Lytechinus pictus: one gene and its partners. The protein of the gene in region 1 purifies or fractionates together with the protein of each later gene. This does not show direct contact. Links are inferred from orthologs where the notes say so. Each region holds a gene or a part of one and is shown in the gene's direction. Other genes may lie near its edges.

Region 1 (7,558 bases):
GCCCTAACTTCAATATTGTTCCGATACCTATATAGGAGCAAACGCTTAAAAGGAAACCAAAATCCAAGAAAAGAACCAATCTTATTGAAAAGAGTGAAATGAGAGGAACAATTTAAAACAAGTTTGATCAAAATCGGTTATGAAATGAGCAAGTTATGGACGTTTAAAAAGTCTTGTTGTTCCTTCTTGGCAAACGTGCTTCAAAATGGCTGATTTTGTGGACATATCTCCGATTTTGTTGTACACAAATTTTCAGATTTTCCCCTTTATTTTACATATTTCACATTATCTCCTCCTGACCTTGACATATGTGGTGTGAATTATATTTTCCTATATGACAAATGGAGAGTTGTCCTCAAAATCAGCCATTTGGAAGCACGTTTGCCAATTTGAGGATCGACATAGAAAGTACAACAGGAGTTTTCAAACTCCATAACTCGCTTATTCTATAACCGATTTTGATAAAACAAGTGTTAGATTGCTCCTCTCATCTAATTCTTTCTGATAAGATAGAGTTTCTCCTTGTCTTTTTGGTTTCCTTTAATGTGTGCCCCTTCAAGCATGTCCGGCACTGCTGAATAATTATGGCGGCATATCCTTGAACTAGTATCTCCAACTTTTGGACGCCCGTCGATTTTCTGGTCATGTTATTGCGAGCGTAAGACTGAGTTTTTAATTGTTTTTCACCTCATTTTCTTTTTTTTTTAACTCCCCCCTCTAATTAACCCTCATACTATTCAAGTGGTTCTATGACATTTGCTCCGCCGAAATTTTATTACTCCGCTGTTAATTCCAGACACTGAAGGAATTACCCATTTTAACCATGGGTTTAACATTATCATGATTATGCTTCATCCTAAACCTAACCTTATATTAACATAGAACCCCACTGCTACCCAAACCCCATCTTAGAGGAAGCCCCGAGTAACTATCGACGGATCAAAAGCCTTGTCACCATTTAGGTTGGGGAGTGGGATGAAATAATAGGTCACCCCGCCCCCAAATAGGTTCACCGCTTGGGTTTACACCAGCTCTATTTAACCCCTTGAAATATACTATCAGACTATATAGGACATGTAGACAGAGTTGTGAATTTGCATCCATGGAACATGTATATATCAGACTAAGAGTCTAGCTGATATTTATCAATATTTCAGTTATAGTAGCAGACAGAAATTTGTCGTTTTCGCTAATTATACAGAGCTGCATGATAAAAGTTGAATACGTTGTAATTTGTATGTTGTTGTAAATAGCAGTAATCCAAAAATTAATCATCTTCGTATCTTATATTCGTTTTACCTTATTGTGATCAAGGTTTATGTTCAACAATGCATAAATGCAGTGGTGATGAGAACAATACTTTAAAACTCATTTGCTAATGATGAGGTATTTTGACCAGCGCTTTGATTGTCATCACTGTAACCGCTCTTTTTATAACTTGCCTATAATGAGCTCTGTCTTCAATTATTGATCAATCATTCACAATATATTTCGATCTACTTCCAAGGTTGATGTTACTATTATGAATAAAGATACAAATGATGGAACTATTGTATCCATTTTCTGTTTTACATCATTCATCATTAATGCACGTACAGTGTATACTTGAAATTTGTAATTTGTTATTTTCAATTCCTCATAGTTTTACCTTTTCTTTATTCTGTACCCTCATAACTCCCTTCCCTCCCCTCCCCCTCCCCCTCTCTCTCTTCCTCTATTAGTCTCTCTTCCCTCTCATCTTAGAATTACCCCTCCATCATGTTGCTCTCGATGGGCCATTCAGTTCTAATACCTAACCCAACTTCAAATGTATTTTGTGCTCTACTGTCTTGTATGGTGTGCAATGTCTCTCTCCCTCCCTTTCTCTCCCTCCTTTCCACTGTCTCGTTCTCACTGTCGTGCGTATGGCAAGCCGTTTTAACATTTAATCATATTTCTTGATATCAAGAAATCGAATTCTTGATATCAAGAAATGGTTTTGTGTAGTTAGGCAATGGTTATTCTTGATATCAAGAAATTGAATTCTTGATCATTATCAAGACGTATGATTAAATGCTAAAATGGCTTGCCATACGTGCGATCCTTTTCGAACGCCACGACTGGCTTTTCGTAACCGATCGCGAAAATGTTTAAACCATTCAAAATACATGTATTAAACAATGTATTATGTATCAAACATGTAATAAACAATGTTTTATAATTAGTCTTATGTTATTACGTAATTTTCAGTAAGTGTGATCAACTGTTAATTTTTAGCAATATTCATTTCGTTTTGTAATGTTTTGTGATACATGTATGATTTGTTTGATTATGAATATATTAAAATAAAAAAATTGTTTAAAAAAATATGAAGCTATCTACGATCAAGACGATCGCTACAACTGATCTGATACGATCTGATAAGATCACTACGATTACTCAACGATTAAGACAACCGTTACAATCATGGCACTATTCGTGAGAGTGGGCAGCAATCAGTGTTCCATTATTGTTATCTTGTTTACTCTTCAGTTTCAAATAATTTTAAGCTGGCAGAACATTCGTAACTAGTGTATAATATGATATCACAAGAATTTGTCTTACTTTATTTATTTCGATTTATATTTTAACTTAAATGTGAATAAAGAAACAACAATCAAACTATCGTATTCATTGTCTATTTTCCTTGTCTATCATTTAAATCATGATGAATTGTATCTGTTCCATTTTTGTTTTAAGCCATTTCCCGAGCAATGAGCTCAAAATTCAGTAATAATTTTGCATTAAGATTTCTATAATCCAATCACAAAGCTCGTTAGATAAGAATCCAAAAGGCGTATATAATATATATTAGATATAATGAAATTTTCACTGATCTTGATCAACGGATGAATATTGCATGTAAAGATTAGAATGTGAGATGATAATCCACTATATAGTTCACATTAATGATTATGCAATTTTACCCAAATTTTAGACAAGTAAAATTAAGTCACAATTCGTTAGGCTTCCAGAAAAATGCAATAACTTTTGATTTTGACAATTAGTCGGATTAACAATAGGATTTTCAAGTTTTTTTTTTGTTGTGTGTGAAATGGATGTGTATGGGAACGAGTATGATAGAAGAAAATGATTCGGGAGCTTTTTGTGTGTGTATTACCCACAAATAAACACAATTCCATTGGTTTTTTTTTTCCAACGAGAGATAATAATGCTCGAACAATGAAATCTAATAGGTCTAAATGTGATGCCCTAATAGATGACACGAACAGAGAAATGTTCTTATATTAGACACCCAATGAATTTGTTTATTTTTAATCCTCCCGAAATGTAAAGTACAAGCAATAAAAAAACGTGAGAAAGTGTTATTTATGGACGTTTATTATGGTATGCCTATATACACCCGGGGAGCGTTTCATAAAAGGGCATGTCAGACGTTTTCTCTGACAAATCCCATTTTAACCGACAGTTACTATGATAACAGTGCCTTTCAGCCAATCATAATCAAGGAAAGTTGTCAGACCTGACAACTTGTCGGATGCAAATGTCGATGAAACGCTCCCCTGAATCTAAGCTACATGGGAGAATTTACAAATTGAAATCGAGATTGTGATCCCTCGTTATTCTTTCCTTGGAGACGTTCAAGATCGGTCCTAGAAATATTAATCTGCATGATATAAAAGATAAAATGCTGTAAAAACACAAAAATAGTTTTTACACACGCACACGCTGACGAATGGTGTTATAAAGGCAACAGTGTTCCCCAAAAGACGTCGACACCGATCGCCTAGTTGTCTGAAATGATGTGCCAGGAAAAGGAAGGCGGCGGCGTCCTCACAGAATAAAATAGATGTTAGTTGAACATAATCTATTGTCCTATTCTCTTCCCCCTTTTATTTTTCTTTTGGATTGCATAATGATTATTTTTATATAAATAAGAAGAGAAAATTTTAGGGACGGTTACATTTAACGTTCATAATTTTGGAGATGTTTTCCTTGTTTTCTTTATCCCTTTATACCTTAATACTGCATCAGCTGGAAAAATACAGTTGTTTTGGAGTCAAGTTTCAAGGTCAATCTTGTTGTCTTCCTAGCTTGGATGAATTCCGATACTGATCTGCTATTTGTGCTGTACTGGTATAGTGGTAATGCCATGGTCACATTTGTTCTACGGCGGCCGTACGGCGAGTCGAAAACAGCCGTTTTAACATTTTTTGTCCAACTACATATAGGTGGTTTGAATCAAAATTGATAAAACGGCTGTTTTCGACTCGCCGTACGGCCGCCGTAGAACAAATGTGACCAAGGTATAATGAAAGGGCACTATTCCCATGTGCCGCTGCGTAAACATAATGTCACTCAGACCAAAACTTGTGTAGCTTTGTCTTGACTTATTGTTTCTTTAATTCTACTCTATCTCTTTCACTTTCTTTTGTTTTCTAAATTATTTCTTATGTGTTTTATAATAATTTCCTTTTACTCTTCTTTTGCAATGATCTTTACACGAGATTTAGCGTGCGAATGTACGTAGCTTGGTTTTATTTTTTAATTTTTACTTCAACGACACCTCTTAGAATGACGTGTGAAGCTAAAAAGTAAAAATTTGTCAATATGGCAGCAGACAGAACCCCACTCTTCAAAGCATCAATTAAAACAGTTCGGACAAGAAATAAAGCTCTTGGAGTTACCAAAGATACTTCTAAGTCATCCCTCTTGAGTCATGCAAAACCCATGAAAGATGATTTTGCTTTAAAGGCAAAAGAAGTGGTAAGTATTTTTTAATCGGTTCCAGAGCAGAGGCGATAGCGAGCCGGGCCGGGAGCTCAGCCGACTCGGGGGCCCGCGGCGGGGGAGCTCAGCGGAGCTCCGGCATATGTGCACTAGAGGCGCACAGACACTGCACAGGCAGGCACAGCCAATATGGGAGAGATTATCTCCAACTTCTAACACCAGTATTTAAAGGTCAAGTCCACCCCAGAAAATTGTTGATTTGAATAAATACAGAAAAATCAAATTAGCAGAATGCTTTAATAAAATCGGATGTAAAATAAAAAAGTCATGACATTTTTTAAACTAAAGTTTTGCTTATTTTTCACAAATATGGCTGGGCGCTAAATGCAGTTTCGCACCGGCCGCCGGCCGATTACCAGCATACCTCATCACCAATACTTGTTCCCAAATGTCATGACAAGTCTCTCAGTCACATTTCGAGGTCAATATACCCACCTCTTCCAAATATCGGGAACGGCTGTATTTCAGCTTTGATCTCGATGTCGTTGTTCGAATCCTCTTCGCGGATCGCTTGGATTCGCCGTGCGCCGTAATGTTGATATGGACTGAAGTTATCAACCAAAAGATTCGCCTGCAGCATGCTGGCAGTTTGTTCGCCACATGTTCGCATGATTTGGTTGCTAACTTCAGTCCCTCCCTGGGTTAGATAGGGCGATGCCCTGCGCAGGTCTAATATGGCCACACATCGAAACTTCATCAATTCAAGTTTAAAAAAACATCCATAAATTTGGACCGATTTGAACCCAAAATTCATGAAATGCAATAAAAATGTGGTGAAACATAAAATGAGCTATCAGATTTGAGCTTATTTTGAGCGGATTACGTTGGATTTTGAAGCTAAATTTGGTATCAAAATCTAGCTAAAATTCCGCTGGTTACGATGCCGCCATATGCACTGTACAGGGGTACAATCACAGAGGGGGAAATGTAACCCAGGGAGCTCCCGCCCGCTGCGCGGGCGGGAGCCCAGGAGCTTACCGTGTATTTGACCATAGTCACCGGACTAGGGTGATTTATGGTCTAAATATTTCTCCAAATGAATTGTGAAAACAGAAAGTATACAATTACCACGATTATATGGATGAAGGTCTAACGAGTGGCAGTTTCCTGACATCTGGGCACAGACTGGAACCTAAAAAAACGAAAAGTTCTCTCCTTCTACCCCCGTTTCGATCGGCCATTTTTGTTAAAAATCGTAACAAAATTGTGCACATCCGCGAGAGCATGCTAGTGCGCCATGGCCGTGCCTACCTCTAGGCAATATCAGAGATTTTTGTATCCAATTTTAGATACGTTTACGTTTGCTGGAAAATGATAGTTTGCACCTGAAATTTGAGGTGCTGAATTATGACATGTCACTTGACAATCGATGATCGTTTTTTGTTGTGTCGTTGCAGGAACGCCCTTAGCTGCACGCATACGGGCATTGTGTAAGGGTGTTGGAAGTGTGGTGCTAAGGGCGTTCCTGCACCGACGTGACAAATTGTCAACTTATTTCACAATCACCAAAACACACACCAAAAACATTGCATTGTTATGCACAGGCATAATCGCTTACCATCGAAAAGTCCTAATTTAAACTCAAAATTTCCTTTAAAAAAGTAATATTTTACCCTTTTAAAGCTGCGGAATCTGCGTCATGATTCCAGAGCACGCGACAGCATAGCCTTATCTTAGGCTTAGCTCAGATTTGATAAGCGGGGTCGCTGAAAAATCTGTGGTTTTGTTCTGAGTTCATAAACTTTTGCAAATGGTATTTTAGGATCATATCTTAAAAGTGACATAATCAGAAAACCAGGACCGCATTGAATGTGCACAGAAATGAGTCAACAATAAGCTTCCGAGTGCCTTCATTTATTCGACAGGGGCACCTAGCTAGCCTAGAGGACTCTGTGATGATTTTATTTCATATTTTTGTCATTGTATTTTCATCACGGAGCCTTGACACGGACCAGATAGTTGAACTTGATGATTAAACAGGGATTTCCCTCTAGAATTACTATTTAGCCCTGCCAATTTTTACCAAATATGAAATTTATCGGATTTTGAAGATTTTATACACCTTATGCATATAAATGTGTAAAAAGTATCAAATTATAAACTTGAAAAATGAGAGGTTTCTTTCCAGACCGATCTGTGGTGGCCATTGCAAAATCTTCCCATGCTGCGTAATACAATAGTAGGCTTGACCCTTGACTCGCTTCGTTATGACGTAGCTACGATGAGCTACGTTATGAAGCGCCGTTTTGTAGAACAATCTATAGACAAAATTATTGTTTAACAAATAATTATCATTTAGGCCTACATAAAATTTTTATATTGGTTGTAAGTAAAATATAATTATTTTTTGTGGGAGATAGTCTCCTATATTGGAGAGAGTGAGAGTCGCCCATATTGGCTGTGAACATCTACTTCCTAGAGTGCGGCAAAATTTTGAAGCAGTAAAACTTAGAAGATGGTAAAAAGCGATAGAAAAAAGAATTAGAAAAGCACAAAAATTTCCATTTACTTTGATTCTTTACTTTATCATCTTTAATTACATGTGCAATAAATCCATGATTCTAAGCATGCGACCAATTCTTTTTAATGAAAAAAAGGGAGGAAACAAATTCGACACCCGTCATGATGATCCACTGTACATGTAGATTAGCTGTCCTATCAAGTATCATTTATCATGCTGCAGCATAATTTAGGCCTGGTAACAGCCAGGAGGCATTTGGACTTGGATTGGAGTGTATAATCATTACTAACACAAGGTTACTCTCCTAGATACCTGGCAATTGTTAAT
Region 2 (7,989 bases), on another chromosome or scaffold:
ATCACTTGTTTTGCTTTTCGATGTTATGTTTATGTTGTTTTTGTGTTTTGTTTTGGTAACATTCCAACTTGCATGGTTTCATACCCGTTTGCCGTTTTCATTTTCAGATGCATGCTCGCTTGTTTGGGGTTGTTCTGTTTTTGTTTGAGGGAGTCTTTAATCATTTTGGTCTGTTTATTATTATTATTATTATTTTTTTTTTTGTTGCTTATTTGGTAATTCAGTACAGTGGGGAATCCAAGCGGGGAGCAAGGTCCGTGTACCCGTAATTCCCGTTTCTTTTTACATGATAAAAGTGTCAAATTAAGGGGGCTCATCCCTGGATCCGCTACTGAGTAGAATTTATTATTTTGGAGATTTTACTTAATGTTCATAATTTTCTAAAATCATATTTTTAATCTGCCATCCCGATAGTCCTGATAGTCATTCATGAAAATCTATCAAATAATTTGGTTTTTGTTTTTAGTCGCTCCAGTCAATCACCAAAAGATAATCAGCCACACGACCTATGTCAAATAGTAGATCAACACTAGCTCATTCAAACTATGGGCATCGGAGAAGAGGATTATCTTTTGTATTTTTTAGGGGGTGGATGCAACAATAGAGGTCCCCAATGAATATTAATCCTCTGCTCTGCTGACCATATCAATCCCCTCTCGTTAAGATTATATAAATTTTCAATCACTCAGAATTTTTAATACAACAATCCAAAACGGAATCAACCAGAAAATGGCGCAGCATCATCGTTTCAGTCAATTTCATTACAGACAAAGAGTCAAATGGGCAACATGTTATTGAAACTTCACGTCTTTGCAGTCAAGATGTTGTTTATTTTTTTTCAGTCTATGAAATGAATGGCAAGGTGAATGTAGAATTAATACAAATGGCAAATAAGTTTCATACTCTTGTCTTTCATAAATGGAAAGAAATCAATAAATCAAATACTTTGTAACAAAATTTACTGTTTGGCCATCTACGACTACGTACAATACATAAAATTGATATAAAATTAAGAATGATATGAATACAAACAATAGAATGTAAAAATAATTCTTGTACTGCAAAATAATTAGTACCAGGGCTAACAACTGCGTAGAATATATATTTTCTTTGTAATTTCTTGGATTTTATATTAGTTTATTTTTTACAATAAAATTAATGGCTCAATGATACTTATAAGATCTACGTCGGCCTCCGATATAGGGAAAACGAAGAGGAAATAAGGATTTCATATCATTCCTTTGATAAATCAAACAAAGTTTTAGGGAACATAGTGATATAAGAGGTCATTGAAGACTATCTTTAATTCACTCAATGCTAAATCTTTCTTGAATACAAGTGTGGTACGCCTTCTTGATGAAATAATTTGAATGAAGATAATGTACATAAATTAATTTCATCATAATGGCCTTAATCTATCATTCTTACACTATCCTTTTCATAATTATGCTCATTGTTTTATTGCAACTTCCTTCAATATCATCATTTACTGGTTCCATATTAAAACACAAAACTACTGCCCTCGCTATTGTCATTTCCTTTACTACATCAATGGTCCTTTAAATCCCCCAAAAATGAACGAGAAAAATTAAAAGGGAAAGAAAGACAAAATAACGACGAGACCGACAATTAATTTTGAATCATCTGCTGAAACTCTAGTCTCTTCACCCCGAATTTTGCCATCCGCTGTTCCCATGCCGCCAAATTTGCTTTTATAGAAACGGACAGGTAAGGGCTGGAACCATGCCGCGATTTTACTGGTGTCTTCCCATCGATCTGTGGAGAAACTGGTAAGGAAAATTTTTTAGAACATTTGAATTACACAGCATGATGGAAATTACCGATTGATATAATAGTTTAAGTTCAGAGTATGGTTAAGTAAATAAAAATATGTAGACCTACTTTATCCCTATGCGTTGATTTAGGTATCCCATATACCTCAGACGCCCTCCTTTTTGACATCTTGTCTACCATCCAATACTGAGTTGTCAACCTGCTGTTTGATATACTGTTAGTAAAGATTTGATATCTGTTTGAAAAGTCATTGAAAGTATGAACTCAAAGAATTTAAAATTAATATTAGACGAAAGGAACATTTTATTAATTCTATAAATCACTTTAGGCCTAACTCGGGCAACTGAATTCCAATTGAATTCACAACAGTAACTGATAATTCTAACCGAATTCGTCAACATTGTCATCCACTTTCGATTGATGTTATTAGCAATGATGACAATATTAAAAGGCCCCTTGTTTTAAATTAAAACGACCAAAAAAATTAGCTGCAGACCTCTGATATGTGAGGGACAGGCAAAATTGAGGGGCAATTTTCCAGCCTTTGATCTAGCAATGACGTCTTTTAAAATAACACTCGTGGAAGAGCCTTTTTAATTTTTTTTTCTTGGGGGGTCCATCATCCCTGGAACCGGATGTATTATTCAAATTAATAATAATATTGAAAATAACTATGATAACATTAAAAAAATAACACAGTTTAACTATTGAGGCCAAAAAGGAAATCACTAAGAATTAATCTCAATCACGTTAAAGGCAATATCAAAATGAGCCCTGGTCAAATTCGCCAACTTCGTCACCATCGTCATTCACCCGCTCATATTGCATTTTCACAGGCAATAAACATCTTTGTTTTAAGATTTTTATTAATAAAAATAATTGTAGGTATATTCTTAACTTATTTAGGCCTAACGTAGGCATATCATTTGCCCTATCATTTGAGAAAGATGTAGACTTCAACTCAATCACGCAAAGGCAATCAAAATGAGCCTTGGTCAAATTTACCAACTTCGTCACCATCGTCATTCACCTGCTCAAATTGCATTTTCATAGGCAATAAACATCTTTGATTTAAGATTTTTATTCATGAAAAATAATTTTAGATATATTCTAAACTTATTTAGGCCTAACAGAACAAAAAATGGATTAAGAGAAGTGTTTCACTTGCGAGGAGCAACGTATCTGCACGCTCTTCCCTCCTTACAAACACACCGGCAAAACACTCAATGTTGCGCGACCGAATTCTGGTCGAGCGCCCTCTCACTATAGGGGCAATGTATAAGCCCTCGCTACTCATCAGTTTCACTGCTAGTTGCATATTCGCTGCGACTGGGTGAACACACAAGTCTTCCCCTTCACACTCGTACCAAATTCACTACACCTACACACGAAGTCATGACGTCACAAGAGTTTACATGAGGCTGCGTCCGCTTAACTCAATAGCTAAGAAACCCGGAAGTAAACAAAACCCCCCCGACGCGGTCAATTTTAAGGTTAGTTTTTGGCTGTGTGCTTGTCTTAATCGACATTTTTTTTGAGGTGGGCTGGAAGTGCTGGTTTCTTGCATGATATGCCAAAGTTTTCTGGCTCATGCATTATTTTTTTTTTTTCAACAGCTGTTGAAACAGCTGTCTGACCGAATTCTGGGAGGTGACCGAATACCGGGCGCGTTACCCTATTTTATTTATTGGTGCCCATAATTAGTAAATTAATCATAAGAATTGCGCATTCAAAGAATTTAGACACAGTTATAAAATTACCGAGGAGCTGAATCAAGGTTGTGAAATTTATTAGCGCCACCAACGGGCTTCCTTGTATTTCCGTAGAAGAGACAAACGAAGTCACTTGCTAGGCCGAGGTAAGCGAAATTTGCTCTTTTTAAATGAAATGAGTTAAATATCATATGTATAATTTTGTTATGTATTGCTACTTACCGGAAAGAGCCCCGGTGCGTAGCGAGAAGGAGTTTCGGCAAATATTACTTCAGCAATGAAGCAATGTTTGCCGACTAGTTCGAAATCTACGGTCAAACACGGTCCGGTGTACGAGGTTCGTATAATATATACGAACCTCGTATTAGTTAACCCAGAGAGCTCCCGCCCGCGCAGCGGGCGGGAGCCCAGAAGCTTACCGTGTATTTTACCATTGTCACCGGACTAGGGTGATTTATGGTCTAAATATTTCTCAAAATGAATTGTGAAAACAGAAAGTATACAATTACCACGATTATATGGATGAAGGTCTAACGAGTGGCAGTTTCCTGACATCTGGGCACAGACTGGAACCTCAAAAAAACGAAAAGTTCTCTCCTTCTACCCCCGTTTCGATCGGCCATTTTTGTTAAAAATTGTAACAAAATGGCCGATCGAGACTGGGGTAGAGGAGAGAACTTTTCGTTTATTTGAGGTTCCAGTCTGTGCCCAGATGTCAGGAAACTGCCACTCGTTAGACCTTCATCCATATAATCGTGGTAATTGATTGTATACTTTCTGTTTTCACAATTCATTTTGAGAAATATTTAGACCATAAATCACCCTAGTCCGGTGACAATGGTAAAATACACGGTAAGCTTCTGGGCTCCCGCCCGCTGCGCGGGCGGGAGCTCTCTGGGTTACGTATTAGTGTGAGTGATACCGCCCCGGCCCTGCCAGATCAGATGCATTCTGCCATTTTCACCTTCTTCAATTGAACTTTTTTACCACGCAATTTTAAATACGTGGGACATACATTACGCAATTCAGAGCTGAGTCAGGTACACCACACATCCACGGCAAGACTTATTATATACTTGACATTATTCAATTGATTGAATAAAAATGAAAATTTAACATAAAAAAACAGTGAAATATTCATTTTAATACGTACATTATCAATCAATAGGGGGGAAATACGTAATACGAAATATAAGAAAGCTCCTCACGTTCGAAGTTCGTCGGTCAAAGTAGTTGAAGATAGCCACTACAAAGTTGACTGTTCGTTTATTTTGCAATTAAAGAATTTCAACAATATGTTTGGGGTTCAAATATATTAAATAAATTCAATTCTTTTTAATTTGAAACTTAAAAGTCTAAAAATATTATTTTTAAACTATTTTTTTTGATAAAAATAAAAAAAATCATTGACCCGTATTTTATTTTTAATACTTGGAAATACGATTCTTAAATTGATATTTTATTCATTACCACTCTCTCTTACCTTTTTCCTCTTCGGATTTCATGGTCAATACCAGACGTCATAGTATTATAAAATTCAATAAAACTGCACGTTATAAGTGTTTTACTTCGTCTATGATTGTATTATTTATTTTTTAATTGAAGATCTTCCAAAATAGTTGCGTTCTCTAAATTAAATCTTTGAGAAATGCAATTTATGCATTCGAAATTGATAATTCATCTTCAAAGTTTCTGCTGTGCGTTTTGAGATAAGGCTAATTTTGTGGTACACGTATGAATCTCTTTTTAGATCCTATACCACCCTGGAATTTCGATTTCAATTGAATTTCAGGTATACCATTTGGTTATCTTGCTATATTCGACACATTTCTCAAGGTTTTAACGAAGCAGTAAGAGAAGAGCTATCCACGCTCATCGGGAATCGACGTGCTGAGAGCTTAGAAGATCTCTGTATAACCTAGTTCAGCATCACTAGCTCCACGTATTGATTTTGCTGTAGGCAAACCTGAGGAACAGTTGCACTTGCAGTTGTCTTGTTGACCAGTCCATCCATCCATTCCTTTCTCTTTTTCATCATAAACAATTTCTCAAGATGGTTTTGATGACGATGATAGCCCGTGTCGCTGACGGGCTGCCCTTAGCAGCCTCGATGCAGGAGGATGAACAAGTAAGTTTATCTAGAATACTCATTAGAGAAAGAAAACCAAACAAATTGCATAAGTAAAAAAAAATAATAATAAAAGTACCGGTAAGTCAAAACGAGCCAGTGCAGTGTCCGTCAGTCTCCCCCTCTTTTGTTTGTGTCTGTGTGTGTGTGAGGGGGGGGGGGTGTTAATGTTATTTTGAATATGCAAACTAGTCAGTTTTGACTATTTGTTGCCATGCCTTGTATAGGCACGGCCGTAGTCACTAGATGGCGCTGTCGCGGAAGTGCTCAAAATTTGTACGCAAGCTTCGTTCGCATGTCAATCATTGCAATCGCATAGCGATGCGATATCGTCAAAATTAAGCCCCTGTTAGCGCGGATGTGTATGATATTTTCTCTTTGTGATTGTCCTCCCGTGCGATGAAAAATATGTCATCGTATTGCACAGGACTTTCGCGAGCTACCGATACCATTTTCGTGCCCCAAATTCCATGAAATCTTCCGAAAATAAACATGAAAGTGTCGGTAAGTCGAAAATGTCTTGAGTTGCTTTCAATTCTTACCTTATTTAGTTGTATTTCTTGTAAAATGGGTCTCGAAGGGTTCCGGATTTTCCGTTGATTGTGAAACTTGAGTTGATTTCCTTTCTGTGTATTGCAGTGAAATTGCAGCGCGGGGAATCGCAAGGGCTGGGGAAGCCCTTCTCAGTGAGGTTTGCAAGCTGAGCTGTCCTTGAATTTGGTCGAATTTCGAGCCATTTTAATCGCGCGCGGGATGATAAATTTACATCATAATAGAGATTAAGATTACGTCACGTACGTGCGTACATGTGATACACACAGAAATGAAATTGAACTTGAATCACACGGAATCACAGTCAAGAAATGCTTTGTTTTCTTCGTTTGCTGAATGATTTCCTGAATTTAAAATCATGAATAAACACCAGAGTAATGACATGAATAAGATAATCATGGTCATATTTGAGAAATAACTAAATATTTTCTGAAAACGAGTGAAGATGATGGGGCAGTGATGTGCATGCACTGGAAAATGAACATTCACTGTCAGTGTCAGTGCCGTGGTGTCAGTGTTTTACTGCCAATACTGGCTTTACTTTTGCCAACTACCGGTAGATTAAAAACTCATTTATTGATATGTTTATTGCAATTTTTGAATAAATGGTAATACAAAGTGGGAAAAAAAAGATAAATGAAGATAAAAATAATTTTGACTAAAAACTTGTCATGCCATCACCCCCCCCTAAAAAAAAATACCCACTATCTTGAATGACTCAGGTAATTTAATTTGTATTGAAAAAAATAAACAATTGTATTTATGCATTTTATATTTCTGATTCTTTCTGCCAGAATACCAGATGCCATCATGAATAACCTCACCACCAGGTTGAACTCCTAAACATCTTGATGATGACTATCTCCCGAGATATATCTTGCCTTCTTGAGATTGGAAGTTTTAAGTTCAAGTCAGAGCGACCTAAGGCCCTACTACCAAGAAGAATCCAGATTTACATAAAAACAAATCCCACGAAAGATACAAACTGATTTTACTATTAATGTGTAGTGTGTGTGTGAGACACTGTTTGTGTTTATTTTGATGAGGATCTCCTGTCTCTTTTTATTATTTCATTGACTGAATGAATGATCAATACCTAAAAGTGAGAACTGATTTTTGAGGAGAGTAGATAAGTGTATGGTTTTGAGTGAATTTGAGTAACTTTTGTTTTTATTACCGGTATTTTTTTCATCATTATTATTATTTTGCCTTTTATTACATATTTTCAGTTTATTTAACATTAAGTTTAAGTAACCAAACTTGATCAAAGTGTTCAATTTTTGGGATAGAATTTTGTAATTTCATTTATCAGGTAATAAAACTGAGTTTGGTAAATCTAAAAAAGGACACTAAAAATATGAACACTTGGAGATGCTCACTAAGATGAGGAAAAAACATGAAAGGAACTGGAACTTAAGTGGATGTTATAGCATGCCTTTCGAAGATCTCCAAGCACCTGGAATCATAGGCGGTGGAAGTGGGGGGGGGGGGACGTATCCCACTAAATTTTAGGTGGGGAGGGGACGACCCCCCCCCCCTCAATTTTTTGTTGATAACCTTTTTTTTTTTTTTTTTTTTGGCTTGTCAATTTTCACTTTTGTTTCCTGTGTCCCCCCCCCCCTAAGATTTTTGGTCACTATTTTTTTTTTTTTTTTTGTCAAAAAGTTTTGGCGGTTCCCCCCTAAAATTTTTGGCTTCCGCCGCCAATGCCAGGAATGATGATGTTCAACTGAGAGTCGCTGAAGTGGAACTTGTTGCAGAGAATGATTATTCCAGGACAAGTTAGATGATATTACCCAGCCC
Region 3 (7,666 bases), on another chromosome or scaffold:
GGGGGGGGGGTATCAGTCCCCGCCGGTAAAAATATGGGGATAATATTTTCCTTGAAGTAGTTGTCAGGGGGTGATTGCCCTAATTGGGTTATTGTTATAGAACCCAGGCGCAGATCCAGGATTTCGTGGGGAGGGAGGGGGGGGGGGCACCAAGTTAAAAAAATAAATGAAATGGGGGGGGGGGTGGTAGACGTCAAAGAAAATCTGATATTTCATTCTTAAAAACAAATTGAGGTATCTCACAAGGCCTAAATAAATAATGAGAACGCGAAGCGCGATCTGATTTTTTTTGTATAGATTTATCATGTATTATATCCTGAAAGCCTAAGTCAGGGGCGGACCCAGCTTCCGCCATTAGGGGGAGGGGCCATTTTTTCACCCATATTTTCCCCGATCGGCCGCTCAAAGTTGATTTTTTTTTTTGTTTCTTTGAAGGGGTTGTCCCAGTGCCGTAATGAGCCAACAATTTCGAGGGGGATCGATATGGTGTATCGCATAAAATTAATAAGAAGTTGCCAGTGAGCGAAGCGAGCAAGCAAATATGCTGACATTTTTATTACAAAAACACAAGGTTGTGATAGATTTTGACATAATATTTGGAAAATAATATTATATTTCATCCTTATCCCTTTCCTTTTCTCTCTATTTTTTCTTAGTCTTGATTCTCTCTTCTTCTTTTTTTTTTTTTTGGGGGGGGGGGGGCAAAACACCCATGTCCTAACAGTCATTTCCTAGCTTTACTTTATAAGCAACATACATGTGTAATAATCTCTTAAGCCCTATGTAATCTAAAAATGAAATTTCATGTATTTTGTCCTGAAAATTGAACATTTTGGGCAATGTTTGTGAACCTGAACAGCGTATATAACTAGATAATTACCACGAGCGCGAAGCCGAGCAGAAATGTTAAATATTCGTTCTGGCCTGGTCGAAAAGGGACATGTTAAGGATGTTTTGCAGTTAGCCATTAAGACGATACATATTTCAACGATTAAATAATGCGAGCGCGAAGCGCGAGCTGAACATTTTTGATATTCCAACCTAAAAAGATGAGATTTCAAATCCCCCAATGGGACATTCGATTCATGTTTGTCAATCATGAAAAAGGATGGGTAATTTTTGGTATCTTCCTACAATAATAATGCGAGCGCAAAGCGCGAGCAAAATTTTTTTGATATTCTGATTCGAAACTGGATAATTTTAGCACGTTTTGAATAAGATCAAGCTTTGTATCCTAAAAACATGCGTGCGCGTGTTTTAGAGTTAGACAGAATCCTGGCAATCTGAATACATTTCATTTTTCATCATAAAAATCAATAATGCGAGCGCAGAGCCCGAGCTGAAAATAATATTTGAAATTCCGATATAAAAAGGGTCAATTTAAGCACTGTTTACAGCACTGTGTATATAGGGAAATTTGATAGCACTATAAAAATAATGCGAGCGCGAAGCGCGAGCTGATATTTTATTATTTATTTGACCTAGGATCGAGACATTTTAGGCCTAAGGACATTTTGTCATCATATAAGAATGATGACTATCTTCTCTTTGTTTTCCTAAAAATTTATTTCTGAAAAAGGGACAATTTAGTTATAATGAATTTATACAAATTTTATTTCATATTTATTAATCTGTTAAGCCTAATGAGTGTGTGAAATTTGTTGACAGTGCATGAGGCCTGAAAACTGGATATTTTAAGTATTTTTGTAATCATGAATAGGATTCATTGGTTGATATATTTTTAGCAAATAATGCGAGCGCAAATCGCGATCCGTATTTTTCTTTTAATGGGGGGATTTAAGTAGTTTGTTATAAAATTAATATATAGGTATACATAACTCACCAATCAAAACGCGAGCGCACAGCGCTAGCTCATAGGCCTTTATTATTATTATTTTTAATCGAGACACCTGAAAAGGTATATTTAGAGAATCTTATATTAAATATAAAAAGACAATACATAGGCCTACTTGGCATATAGTGCGAGCGCACAAAATGTTGCAAATGTTGATTCAAACCATAAAACGGACATTTTCCAGAGCACTTAAAACATAAATTGGTAAATAAGACAAAATAATGAAAGATCGATGTCCGAGCTGAATTATGTTTTGTATATTGATATCAAAACTTGATATTTTAAACTACATATCAGCCTATTGAGCTGTATTTATATACTGACTTAAGAAGGACTAAGGTATAATTCCTATTCTAATTGCTTGTCCTTTTCTCTTCCTTTTTTCTGTTTCTTACCCCTTTTTGCGCCACCATGGGGGGGGGGGCAAAATCTTTGCCCCCTGGATCGACCTATGTATGTTGACTTGAAAAACACTAACACTTACATGTGGGATTGAAGCAGAGGATGCATACCTCATTAATCAAATATTGCGAGCGCGTAGCGCGAGCTGAATTTGACAATAACCCTTTTTTGTGACCCTGAACAGGGTATCTATCTCGCTAAACAGACTTATAACTCGAAAACATTTTTTTTTCTGTTATCGTAAAAACGGGATATTTCAATTCAGCCGCATTAATTGAAGTTTTTTGGCAGGACATATATTTTACTATAAACAGGCAATGTTGCGTCCCCGGTCGAAAATGAATTTGCATGAAGCCCTCTAAGTTCAAGGTCAATTTGGCGCCCTCGGTTGAACATAAACTTGGCGCCCCCATCATGTGAAATATAACTTTGCCCTCCCTCCACTCTCTGAAACATGTATTTGTCGCATTATGGTCAAAATTCAAATTAGCGCTCCCCTAGTTCGAACATCAATTTGGTGCCCCGCTAGATCGAACATCAATTCGGCGCCCCATAGTTCGAACGTCATTTTGGCGCCATCAAATCGACGTCCAGGTCAACATCTCCCTCTTCCGTTTCCCATCTCCTTTTCTTTCTTTTTTCTTTCTTTTATCCTAATTCCCCTTCCTTCCTTTCTCTTTCTTTCTCTCTTTCTTTCCCCCTCTTCTTTTCCCCCCTTTCTTCTATTTCCCCCATCTTTTCTTTCCCCCTTTTCTTCTCTTTTTGCTGTCTTTTCTTTCCCTCTTTTCTTGTTTTTCCTCTCTTCCCACTTACTCTCGCTCTTTTTTCTTCTTCTTTTCCCCCTTTTCCTTACTCCGTTCTTTTCTTTTCCCTCTTCCACTTTTTTTCTCTTTTCCCCTTTACTTCTCCCTTTTTCTTTTTCTTTCCTTCTCCCTTTTTTCTCTTTTAATATTTTTTCTCCTCTCTCTCCCCTTCCTCCCTCTCTCTCTTTCTTCTCTTCTTTCCCTCTTCCTCTCTCTCTCTTTTTTCTTATCTTTCTTCCCATCTTCCTCTCTATTTAAATATTCTTCTCTTCGTTCCTCTTTTTTTTCTTCTTTTTCCTCCTTTTCCTTTCTCCTTTCTTTTCTTCTCTTCCTTTTCCCTCCTCTTTTTTCCCTCTTCTTTCCCCTTTTCTTCTCCCTTTTTTCTTTGTCTTTCCTTTCCCCTTTTTCTTCTCTTCCTTTCTCCTTCTTACTCTCTTTTCTATTCTCTTCTTTTCCCATCTTCCTCTTTCTTTTTTTATTCTCTCCCTTTTCCCCTCTTCGATCCCCCTCTTTTTTTTTAGCTGGGGGTGGGGGGGGGGGTGAGGCAGTTCCCCCTCGGCCCTCCATGGATCCGCACCTGATAGAACCCCATGGCCTCGTATCATTTGACCTTTGGACCTCTCGATAACATTTGATATATCTGATCATAATTTTACACACACTGCGGACTATCGGACCCGCGGACTATCGGACCCGCGGTCTATCGGACCCGCGGTCTATCGGACCCGCGGTCTAACGGACCCGCGGTCTATCGGACCCGCGGTCTATCGGGATGTCCCCATTGGATCGGGGTCTCCCTAGCCACTAACCCGTCTCTGTGGTCTAGTGGTTAAGGCACCGGCGTTCAAAGCTGGGGGCCCGGGTTCGATTCCCGGCAGAGACATTTTTTCGGCATCACCAATTTTTCCAAAAAGGGTAGATAGCTCTGGGGAACCTTGATTTAAGCTACGCCTACCATTGTTCTCTTCATCCATTTCTTTCACACAATATATATATATATATATATATAAATTCAATATTTTTTTTTTGCAATCATAGACTGATCAATCGATCCCTCCATCAGTGTACATGATGTTGTTGTTGTGGGTTTTTTTTCTCTGGTTTTATGTGTATGGTGTGGGGTTCCTGTCCCTCCGGATGATATATTTTGCTTAATTTCATTCATTCTGTACAAGTACTTTATGAATTTCATATTAAAAATCAGTTCAATGTAAAATATCATGATTAGCGATATGTACTTATGCATACTTACAGATACTACTTTTTATTTCCAAGTCAAATGAATGATAAAACAACTATGTATGTATATTTTTTGTTTGTATCATGTTACAAAAAAGTGATATTGTCTTGATGATGTATTGAAAGAATTCAATAAATAACAACTTAAAACAAAAAATATTGTTCTATCATCCGGCTGCCATATCCATTGTATTACTTCAAGTAACAGCTGTCATAAAAAATAAACTGAGGTGAACTTGACCACTATTATTATTTTTTTGTGTAATAATGCCCCCGTCCGAAATTTTAGAATTTTTTTTTCACGAGAGAAAATTAGGATTCCTTATAAATCACTAACTCTAATTTTAGAATCTTCATAAAAAATCAAGACAGAGATCGAGATTGAGAGATGTCTTCGAAATTGGTTGATAACTTCAGTGTCAGACGGGCGATGAGCAGAATATTAACATCACATTTGCGTCAGTTTTGTCCACGTCACTTATTTCTCATCTGATTGTAACGACACTAACGTTATCCTTTTTTATATCAAAGATGCCAGCTTCTCGTGAAGAAGTAAATTTCCAACGACTTTTAATAAGATGTGAAGAAATGGCTGCGGAAAATAGATCGGGGGATTGGCGCCTGGAAAAGGTAAGCCGATTTTGCGAATGCATCCATCGCCAGCGCTAACGTCAGTCTGGCCCGCACCGGCCCCGGCCCGGCTCGGCGCATGACGGGCCGGTAATCCTTACTGCGGCAGCCCGAACACTAACCCAGAGAGCTCCCGCTCTCTGGCCAGTCTGGGTTACCCGAACACGTATGGTAGTGGATCGTATTACCGAACACTTTTCATGAATTCAATCATATCAAGCACATTATTCTCATAAAATTCACCAAACTTTCACCATAAATACACAATTACCTACAAAATATAAATATGTAAAATTTTTGCCGAAATAGTTTTTCCTTTTTACGATTTTTGCTTCCAATCGGACCCCTCTTCGCATGTGAAATATTTTGGTCACTTGAAAAAGGTATCGTATTACCGAACGTGTGTTTTCTATGGGAAAAGTTGAGAAAACAACAAAATCACTGATGAGCTATTTTGACCATATTTTATTGTTTTTAGAATATTAAGACTTTGAAAATGTGTTTTTGACAATTTTTCATCATCTTTCTATTCAAGTTCTCTTTGGAAGGATGTTGCGAAATTTTGAATGTATGAATTTTTTTTCTGATGCGTATGAATGATGCGCGCGTTCGGTAATACAAGGCCGGTCGGTAATACAATCACTCACTATACTAAAGACGTCGTGTCGAGGTTCCCGGGGCAAGGTAATCCCGGTATGCTGCGCCGCCGAATCGGAATAGTCAGTCAGACTCACATACGGAAATGCCGCTGGAGAAGTTACCGGCCCAGAAAGGTCATCCTAGAATATATGACAGTCACTTTTCTAGACCAAAAGCTTCAGTCTCTGTAATACTGTATTTTGGTTGTTCCGCCGAACTGCGTTGGCTCACTTATCACCAATACATTTATAGTAAAATGTCAGAAATTGTTGAATAAATCCCCAGAAACGACGGTTATTCCTGTCTATCAGTATCAGTTTTATTTATCACTTTTCGTGCTATTGCCTATTGGCATTGCTAGGAAGGTGTGCATTCTTCCAATCCAAGGTCTAACAAGTTAGATCTAGACTAGACAGCTGGCAGCCGTCTGTTTCGAGGAGTTTTTGAACATTTTTTTTTTTTTTCTCGTGAGTGAAGCCAACGGAGTTCAGTGGAACAACCAACATAAGTATAACAGGGACCGAAGCTTTTGGTCTAGATCTAGACTAGACAGCAGCTGGCAGCCGTCTGTTTCGAGGAGTTTTTAAACATTAAAAAAAAAATTATCCTCGTACACAGACAGGTTGTACACAGATGGCTGAGTCACGATCGCGAGCCATGTGCAGCTGCCATTTGGGGGTTAACAATGCAAAATCCCTCCGATGGGGCTTATCAATTTTTGTCTTAATTTCATAAAAATATATAATAATAACTGGACCAAAATAAAGATTATTATTCCGTTTTGGCCTGAAATGCACCAAAACGGAAAAAAATAAACTTAAATTAATAAAATTCTACCACTACAGTACCATCAATATCAAAGTCCTTACCACTTGCTCACTGCAACCATCCTGCCTGTGGGGAATCTACAGGTAGGACTATGGTATGCCAATGCTGTACACAGCACACACTTTAAAAAATCATTAAAATGTCACTTTTGTGACCAAAATTACTATTCCATAAAGTTGCAATTTATTTTTCATTAGTAACCAGGGACTAATTTTTGTATTCACCAGAGCGCTCAAAAACTAAAATTTTGGGCACATTTTTGTGTACGCCCTCTATTGGTGGAAAGTAATATGGTAAGAAAATTTTCATTTTTCAATCTCTATTTTTAATTAAGAAAAAATAATTTAAAGAATCAAATTTACTTAAGAGCCAAGTTATATGATGAATAGCTGTAATGGAAACAGACAGTGTAAAAAAATCAAGCATTTGTCCCAAAGAAAAAGAGAAAATAAGCCAAACATTGCTACCCTTATTTTGCAACACATGGAGATGTAACTGAGAACAAGGTTATATCATAACCTTGTTCATTGAATGAGTGGTCCTTACATGCTTTACAAGAGGTCTAACACAAACAGTTAAATGGATGTATAATTCACAGAGCAAAATGCTGAAAATTTCATCAAAATCGGATAACAAATAATGAAGTTATTGAATTTTAAAGTTTATCAATATTTTGTGAAAACAGCTATATGCACATCGTCATGAATATTCATTAGGTAGGCTGATGATGTCACACTCACATCCCCACTTTCCTTTTTCTTATGTTACATGAAATCATAAATGTTTCATTTTTTTCATACATGTGTAAATGATGTGTCTCCATTATGATGAAATAAGTTGCGGCAATAAATAACTAATGCACTTAATCAGTTGTCAATCCAATTGATTGAGTTCTTGGTAGAAATTTTTTAAATAAATCTAATTCCATATAATAAAATACAAAAGAACAAGTGGGGATATGACATCATCAGCCCACCTAATGAATATTCATAAAGACATGCCTAGACCTGTTTCACCAGAATAATGCAAATCATTAAAATTCAATAAACTTTCTTATTTGTTATCCAATTTCGATCAAATTTTAAGCATTTTGCTTTGTGAATTTTACTCTATTTAGATATAAATATCTCAAGTCTGGACCATCCCTTTAAGTTTAATCAACTGCAGAAATGAATACAAATTAAATGCACAATATTTAAAGTTGAAGAAGCTTTGATTAAAATTTTGTTTGTTTCTGATGCAATGGCAATGCCAATGGTGATGTTTAAGA
Region 4 (7,843 bases), on another chromosome or scaffold:
GAAAAAATATTTCAAAGCCATATGTCAGCAGTGCCACCCAGCTAATATAAATGCATATGTTTATTCACCAATTATTGATTTCCAGTGGTACACCTCAAAAAAATGGATCCCCAGGCATGCAAGCTCTATAGCTTGTGCCCCTTCCAAAATCTGTCCCCCCGGGATAAGCGCTGGGGTTGCCCCAACACCTAATCGTATTAAAAAAACACTAAATACGACAGTACTAGTGAGTATGTTTCGTGGTAGGATGTAATGCTTTTATATGACATGGATTAATAAAATCATATTGAGATCTAATATTTTATGCCCATCCCCATTCTCTTGCAATCAGGTAACCCAAAGACACGGGCCTTCATGTACCAAGGAGGCAACAATGGTTTCTACAAGGCCGTCTACCATGCTGTACCCATGGTCGTCATCCCTTTCTACGTTGACCAACACGATGTTGCCGCCAGGGTGACCCCTAGGGGACTGGGAAAGGTCTTGGACAAGTTCAGTCTCAGTGTCGATATCATCCACTCCGCTTTGACTGACGTCATTACAAATGATAGGTAGAAGTAGTACTATATATTTTAATTTGTCAAATACTTGGCCTTTACTCGATATGTTTACTGCTTGTTCGAAAGTCATTATCCTAACAGTGCCTTTTCAATTAAAAATGCAAAATGCTAAATAGTTAATATGCTAACTTTTGGAGATGTTATAGTGGAAATCACACTGAAATATAAGTTGGATTAATTACTTGATGACTGTCATGGCTGTTGGATCCCGAGTTTGGTAGTCTTGATTAATTCCCGTTTTCGATAAACACATATATAAACTTTTTTGGCTATATTCCAAGTTTTGGACTAAAAACAATGGGAATCAATGTGTTTAGTTGGCTCTTGGCTTTATACGAACCGAAAATAATGTGGCCTACAATATATTTGATATAGGCTTAACCGGGGCTTAGCATGTTTAAGGGTGACGGATCATGAATGATGGTTAGCCCAAATACAATTCCTTGAAGATTCATGAAAACATTTTGTGAAAATGAGTGCCTTCCAGGTCACAATTCTTTACAGTTAAACGGATGTTTAAATAATTCCCAATGTATGTGATATATTACATGTATCTGTCATATTCCTTTGGATATACATGCACATCATCATGATCATATGCAGATGACCAAACAATACCACCTTTTTAGATATGAGAATCTCTCTCTTGATTTAAATGTAAACGAATTGAAACAGAAGAAAAGATGTCTTAAATCATAATGAAATATTATAACAAATTACATCATAATCTCATGAAGTTGATTCTTATCGTTTTATTTATAATTATTATTTGCAGCGGTACGGCAAAAATATTCAGCGGACTTCGGCAATCTTTAGGGATCACGACATTACCCCACCCGACACCGGTATATTCTGGCTAGAACATGTGATGAAATATGGAGGCTCCTATATGCGTACACCAATAAATGAGCTCAATATCATTCAATACTATTTGATTGATGTTATCCTGATTTTCATATTTTCTACGGCTTTGGTCATATAGGGCTTCTTGTTTGCTCGCGCCGTTTACTGATCCGATGCATTTGTAAAAGGAGAAAAGAGAAAGTTGAGTGACATTAATTTGTTTCTCGCTTTGAAGACCTTGGCACTGATCGGTGGGATCAAGGGCGGATCCAGGATTTTCAAAGGGTGGGGCCACATCATGTTTCCTAGGTAAAGGTGATCCTCACTTGTGTATGAAGACCATATTCTCATTCGAAATATATGCTGTGACTCTCAAAGGGGCCGGGGCACACTTGTGTATGAACAACATATTCACATTAAAATATTGACTATGTGGCTCTCAGAGGGGGAGGGGGGCTGGGCAAGGGCCGAATTTCCACCCCCCCCCCCCTGGATCCGCCACTGGGTGAGATGTCGAATTGACAGTAATTATGATTAGGCCCTATAAACCAATAGATTTCACTCGTATGAAATAAATCTGGGAAAATATGAAAAACGCACAAATATTGATTCGTGTCGATGGTCTTCGAAGCAACATTGCATTTGCCCCCCCCCCCCCAGAAAAATCGTATGTGACAGTATGGTGATCCCCCTCCAAAATCAAGTTTTTTAATTAACACAATAATTATTATAAAGGGTAATGTTTCAAAGTGGTTGCTATTGTGTGAATGCCATAATTATGTTGATTAACACCATATAGGTTGTTATTTGTAGTCGTAACTTACCTTGTATATATTAGGATTGATTTATGTTTTCTTTTATATATGTATTTGTTTGTACATTGTATTTTGTATTTTTAAACGTGTCCACTGGACCCCTCAGTAGAACAGCCTGTGGCTGAAGAGGGCCATCCAGCCCACGAGTGGAAAATAAATAAATAGATAAATAAAAATAACATCATACAAAGCATTTCCCTGTAGTTTATATGACTATGAAATCAAATCCATTTTTTCACATCTTCAATCCATATGCCTGCATTTTCACAGTAAAAGTCTTCTTGCATCGGATAGAATATAAAAAGGGTAGGCCTATACAATATCGATTCGCCACCTTCGTTTTTCTTTTCTTGTTAAAATGATTGGAATATTTACACTTTATAATAATACAGGCCTGTAATGTTATATGATATTTTTATCCCACGGGAATAAAAACAACAAAAAAATGATACGATTTTCTTTCTTCAGTATGATTATATGATATTTCCATGAAGGCATGAATACAGTCTTAAAAATAATTTAAACAACACTGTTTACTACGTGAATCGCACAGTAGTACGTTGTTTAACAAGTGCTTAAAATCTTAAACAATCAAACCTATATTATTGATGATTAAATATTTGAATTTAAACTGTTGTTTAAGATTTTAAACACTTGTTTAAAATGTTTAAACAACTACTGTGCGATTCACATTGTAAACAGAGATGTTTAAATTGTTTACGTACTTAATTTGTACCAGACAATGCTTGTTACTATTCTAATATATGATTGTTAAAAAATAGATGATCTTTTGTACCTTATATCATAAATCGTTTTGTTTAATAATAAAGAAAGAGATAATCCCATTATCTCCATTACTTGACAGGGAATTCTTGAAAATTGTAGTTTTGACTGTTAACACATGATTTACTAATTGTGACGATTTTTTTGCCAGTGGAGAATCAAATATATTTTCTGAGCAGCACTATGGGCGTAATTATTTAATTGGTTGGGTTGCAAACACATTCAGAGGTAATATCTTCCAGTGCCTGTAGGGGCGGGGCGGCATAGGCCTACAGTGGGCAGGGGCGCGAACCACTTCTTGCACTAGGCCTACGGGTTTTTTTTTCTAAAGTGAGAAGAAGAAAACAGATCGAGAGAAGAAGGAAGAAAGGAGAATAAGAGCATTAAGAAACTGAGAGAGGAGTAGGTCAGAAAAAATGGTCGTCGTGCCTGCCCCCTCTCCCTATTAAAATATCCTTGCGTCACCCCTGATCCTTCATTGCTACATAATGAACCAACTGCGAAGTAGGTATGCCTATATGTACAGGGGCGGATCCAGGATTTTCCAAAAGGGGGTAGGGCAAATTTTTCGGAGGAAAAATAATCAACCACAAATTAAGTATATTTCGTACCCGAAAAAAAGGTCTTCAATTTCAAAAGAGGGCACACCTATGTTTTAATGGCATTTTCACATTACAAATTCTAATTTTGCTTCTCAAGGCCGCGCCTGATGTATAGGCCTATTGTTGTCTGATCCGACATCGGCGGAACCTAATTGAGTCATATTCGAAAGCAACCGTGTACCGGGCACTGAGCACTATGTATACCGTTGATACTAGAAATTAAGTTTTAGCCCCGATTCCCCATTCACCCATACGGTACAAGACGGGGTCGGTGCCCATCAAAAACCCCAAGTATCACTGCAAAACTAAAGTTTACTTCTTGAAAGATCTTTTGGCAAAAATAATTAGAATTAATCGCTCCGATTACTTCTAAGCTACATAAAAGCGGCATATAGAACATGATTGGAATTTATCATCCAAGGGTGACATATCAGGTTGCGGAATCGCGATCTCGATTGCAGTCGTCACCGCCCATGTGGCATTAGCCCCCGGTGCCCCCATAAATCCAGACGGCATATCACTGATCTTCCCGCCGCCCCCCTCGGTTCAAAAAATGTTGGTGCCATGTGCACCCGGTGGTCTAATGAAGGTTTATTCGAAACTCATATTTCCCATAGACTTATGGGGGCTGTATTAGGCCCTATAGGATTTATATAATCAATTCCTTGAATGCGCCTGTAGCCAGCTGAAGCTAGCTAGCCGGGATATATATATATGCCTATTGTGCGCCATTGATAGGCAAATAGATAATCGGCGTTTCATTAATGCTCTATATTATAATTATTAATAATTCGCATAAACTGAAGAAATATACCTGATTCAAGAAGAATACTGAAATGTTAGCATATGAGTCACTTCACAGAACTTATATACCGGTATACCCCACCCTCTTTTATCATCAACTTTAATTCTTCTGGACATGGAGTTTTGAAATATGACTTTTATATCAAATTACAAGTATTCTGCAAATAGCAAAAAAAATGAATTGATTTTCAAAAACTGTTTGTGTAATTCTTTGCTCAAATTTCTTTGAAATTAATGAACCTTGTAAACGTGCTTGCTTAGGCCTTTAGCCCGATCTTCCGTCGATGTGTTTATACATGTATTCCACTTTTGTAGAGTAATAATTAGGCCTTAACTCACGTTGTCTTACCCTGAGGAAACATGGTAAAACCAGTGTAAAACTTGTTTGCTTTATTTATCTTTTTTTCTCTCACGTTATGTTTTAGACACTACCATTAATAGTCGCCAACTTCATTATTAAAAATAATTTTTTGACGACATGGCAGCGTCCATCAGAGAAAAACAGATTGGTAAGTTGAAAAAATAAATTCTTTGTAAGTTTTTCTAAACATTTTATGTGGATAATCATAGCATAATTTTATGATAGGAACAAATATGTTCAGATGAACATAGCTTTGTTCACCATGTTTTAACGTTAGCCAATTTGACAAGACATTACCGGACGAGTTGAGTGACTGTTGTCCCATGTATTATTTTTCGTGTGAGTTGTGACGTGGCTATTCTCGACTCTCGGCGCGGCATATTTGTTAAATTGTTTCTCAGACTCAGTCTCGGCCTCGTAATTAAGAAGGCTATTTTTTTTTCATACATTCTGTTTTCACAATTCATTTGGAGAAATATTTAGACCATAAATCACGCTAGTCCCGTGAGTATGGTCAAATACACGGTAAGCCCCTGGGCTCCCGCCCGCGCAGCGGGCGGGAGTTCCCTGGGTTACTTTCTTTACTTTCTTACTTTTTCTGCCTCCAGCTGCAGCTCTGGCATCTGCTCCGACCTTGCTCTTGCCTTGCTTGGTTTGGCCTTGGGCTTGGAGAATGTTGTAGAAAAGTGCACAGACGTCGACTTCGGCACCTCATGATCTTTTAACTTTAAGTAGGGTGTCTGAAGCCACACTGAAAAGTGTCAGCATAAAACAGGCTGATTTAGGGGAAAATATGGCACATTTTTTCGGGGAAGTTCAGGCTACTAGAAAAATGTGATCTGAATTGATTATCAACTTGTGTTTGGCATGTATGGAAAGAGAAAATTCAGGGGCTTCTTTTGACAGAAAGGACAAGTTTATAGGATCATTTTAAATAAGGATTTAGAGATAAATTGCAAACCCTTATTTTTGTGTGTGTGTGTTTTGTGTGTGTGACAGAAAGGACAAGTTTATAGGATCATTTTAAATAAGGATTTAGAGATAAATTGCAAACCCTTATTTTTGTGTGTGTTGAGATTGCCATTTCTCCATGCGTTTTCTATGGGAAAATGAAATTTCTGTTTTGCACAATTTTTTTCACTTTGTCGCAATTTTTCATTGTGATCTGGTTTCCAAATCTTTATAAAAATCATACCATCAGATAGAGCATAAAAAATCCTATTGGACTCTTTATGGACAAGTTTTTGGCATTAATAATAAATTTCAAACAGCTCTCGGAAGCTAAAAATTTGGATTTGTGTGTGTCCATTTCTTAACTACACAGTCTATGGCAGAGAAATGCTGAAAAATGACCTAATTTCATTCTTATTTTTTGCAGCCAATAATTGGATTTTTTTCAAAAATGTTACATTTCTGTCAGTCTGAACGTCATTTCTCTTCAAATTCACAAAGAAAATGTGATATTTTCTTGAAATAAGAAAAATAATTTTTTTCTCCAGACACCCTACTTTAAGAATTGAATTTTGTTTTGTGTTTGTTTTCTTGAATTGAGGTTCACTTAACTCTGTATCGGTAGGCCTACTGTGTCTGTAGCTTATTATTATACTGTTTTGTAACAAGAAATCTAATTTATTTCAATTGTCTAATTTTTGTAAGTTAAAATGAATAGTAGGTCTATGGCTATTTTGTGCTTTTTTTTAGTTTAAATTTACACTTATTTCAACTCTCTCTCTTTCTTTTCGAGTTTATTACTTTGATTCTACTCAATTTTCTCCTCATAATAGCAATCAACAAACATATAAACATACAATATAATACACAATATAGGTAAAATTTTGCTTTAAAAAAAGAATAGCATTTTTGGTCATAAGAGAAAAGCTCTCAACTAAGTAATGTACAGTCCTATGTAAATATATGCTTTAAAAAAACTTTATACATAGCAGTCTTTAAAAATTGTGGAGCAAATTGCGATGCAATACCAGGAAAATTATTCCCTGCAATAAAATTTGTAAAGAACATGAGTGTAGGCAGTGGCAAGAAAGGACGAACCTTATAAACGCCAACCCAAGATACTTAACATAATGGTATAAATTGAAATAACAGAAATTATTTCCAGTAAAAATAAGACAACTAAAAGCCGAACAAACCCTAGACAAACTATAATACCAACAAGAGCTTATATATCAATGCAAATAATTCTGACCAAGTAAACAAGTTTTATATATTTCTCTTTTAAAACATTTAGTGATTTACTTTAAAACAAATTTAAGTTGGAATCAAATTCCAACTGTAAGACTTATGGAATGCTAGTAGAGCACATCCCAGTGGATTTTGTAAGAATTTGGTCATGAATAATAATGCTAAATTGCTTATGCAGCTAAAAATTTATGTTTAGATAAATGATTTTCAATTTGTTACAAATAGCAGTACCATATTATAAAACTTTTCATGTATGAAGCGAGGTGAATTAAAAATGTTAATTTATTATTATTTATTTTTGTACCAGCTGCTTTGAAGCGAATGCTGAATCTGAATGCAGTTCCGACAAAAGCTTCACTTGCAGAACCAGCATGGAAGGTAAAACAAAATATTTAATGAGTATTGCTTTTGACCCACACCTACAAATAATCATCCTCTAGTATACAAATAATGAATGTTTATGAGTGCAATGGACAGAATTTCTTATGAGGTGAAAGATGAAATGATCCATTTACGCCTCACTGAATGAAGTATTCTGTCCATTGCACAAATGATAAGAGCATTCATTATTTGGTCTATATGACACCTAAAAACAGATTCTTTTTCATATGAAATTTATGAATGCAAAATATGCTCACGCAGTGCAAGCTTGGTCTGTTGATTGTCGCGTACATACAACATGTGTGCTGCAAACACGAGTGATTTATTTGTGGTGCCTGCAGTCTGGGTGCACGCGTGCAACTGACAAAATTGTATAGATCCTAAATTGCATGATGAATAGATCCAAAGTTGCATGGATGATGATGTCATTGTAAATGGGCTGAATGACCAATATCAAACAACCAATCAAATGACAATGATCTATCTAGGTGTCAT

What was found.
Region 2: the proteins of syntaxin-18-like (region 1) and vesicle-trafficking protein SEC22b-like purify together in Homo sapiens (affinity purification with mass spectrometry; 5 studies listed by BioGRID and IntAct, counting the BioPlex papers as one, with this or other methods). This does not show direct contact. The link is inferred for Lytechinus pictus from reciprocal best matches to the Homo sapiens genes STX18 and SEC22B.
Region 3: the proteins of syntaxin-18-like (region 1) and vesicle transport protein USE1-like purify together in Homo sapiens (co-immunoprecipitation; 4 studies listed by BioGRID and IntAct, counting the BioPlex papers as one, with this or other methods). This does not show direct contact. The link is inferred for Lytechinus pictus from reciprocal best matches to the Homo sapiens genes STX18 and USE1.
Region 4: the proteins of syntaxin-18-like (region 1) and sec1 family domain-containing protein 1-like purify together in Homo sapiens (affinity purification with mass spectrometry; 5 studies listed by BioGRID and IntAct, counting the BioPlex papers as one, with this or other methods). This does not show direct contact. The link is inferred for Lytechinus pictus from reciprocal best matches to the Homo sapiens genes STX18 and SCFD1.

The regions. Positions count from the first base shown.
Region 1 is NC_087256.1:16,138,334-16,145,891, forward strand, and holds the start of syntaxin-18-like, read left to right. Parts: upstream 1-4,544; 5' UTR 4,545-4,590; coding exon 4,591-4,746; intron 4,747-7,558. UniProt on the Homo sapiens protein: Syntaxin that may be involved in targeting and fusion of Golgi-derived retrograde transport vesicles with the ER.
Region 2 is NC_087259.1:20,212,514-20,220,502, reverse strand, and holds the start of vesicle-trafficking protein SEC22b-like, read left to right. Parts: upstream 1-4,982; 5' UTR 4,983-5,559; coding exon 5,560-5,634; intron 5,635-5,941; exon of another isoform or gene 5,942-6,138; intron 6,139-6,980; exon of another isoform or gene 6,981-7,288; intron 7,289-7,851; exon of another isoform or gene 7,852-7,989. UniProt on the Homo sapiens protein: SNARE involved in targeting and fusion of ER-derived transport vesicles with the Golgi complex as well as Golgi-derived retrograde transport vesicles with the ER.
Region 3 is NC_087249.1:30,180,945-30,188,610, reverse strand, and holds the start of vesicle transport protein USE1-like, read left to right. Parts: upstream 1-4,645; 5' UTR 4,646-4,830; coding exon 4,831-4,929; intron 4,930-7,666.
Region 4 is NC_087251.1:20,938,198-20,946,040, reverse strand, and holds the start of sec1 family domain-containing protein 1-like, read left to right. Parts: upstream 1-4,837; 5' UTR 4,838-4,885; coding exon 4,886-4,916; intron 4,917-7,274; coding exon 7,275-7,345; intron 7,346-7,843. UniProt on the Homo sapiens protein: Plays a role in SNARE-pin assembly and Golgi-to-ER retrograde transport via its interaction with COG4. Involved in vesicular transport between the endoplasmic reticulum and the Golgi.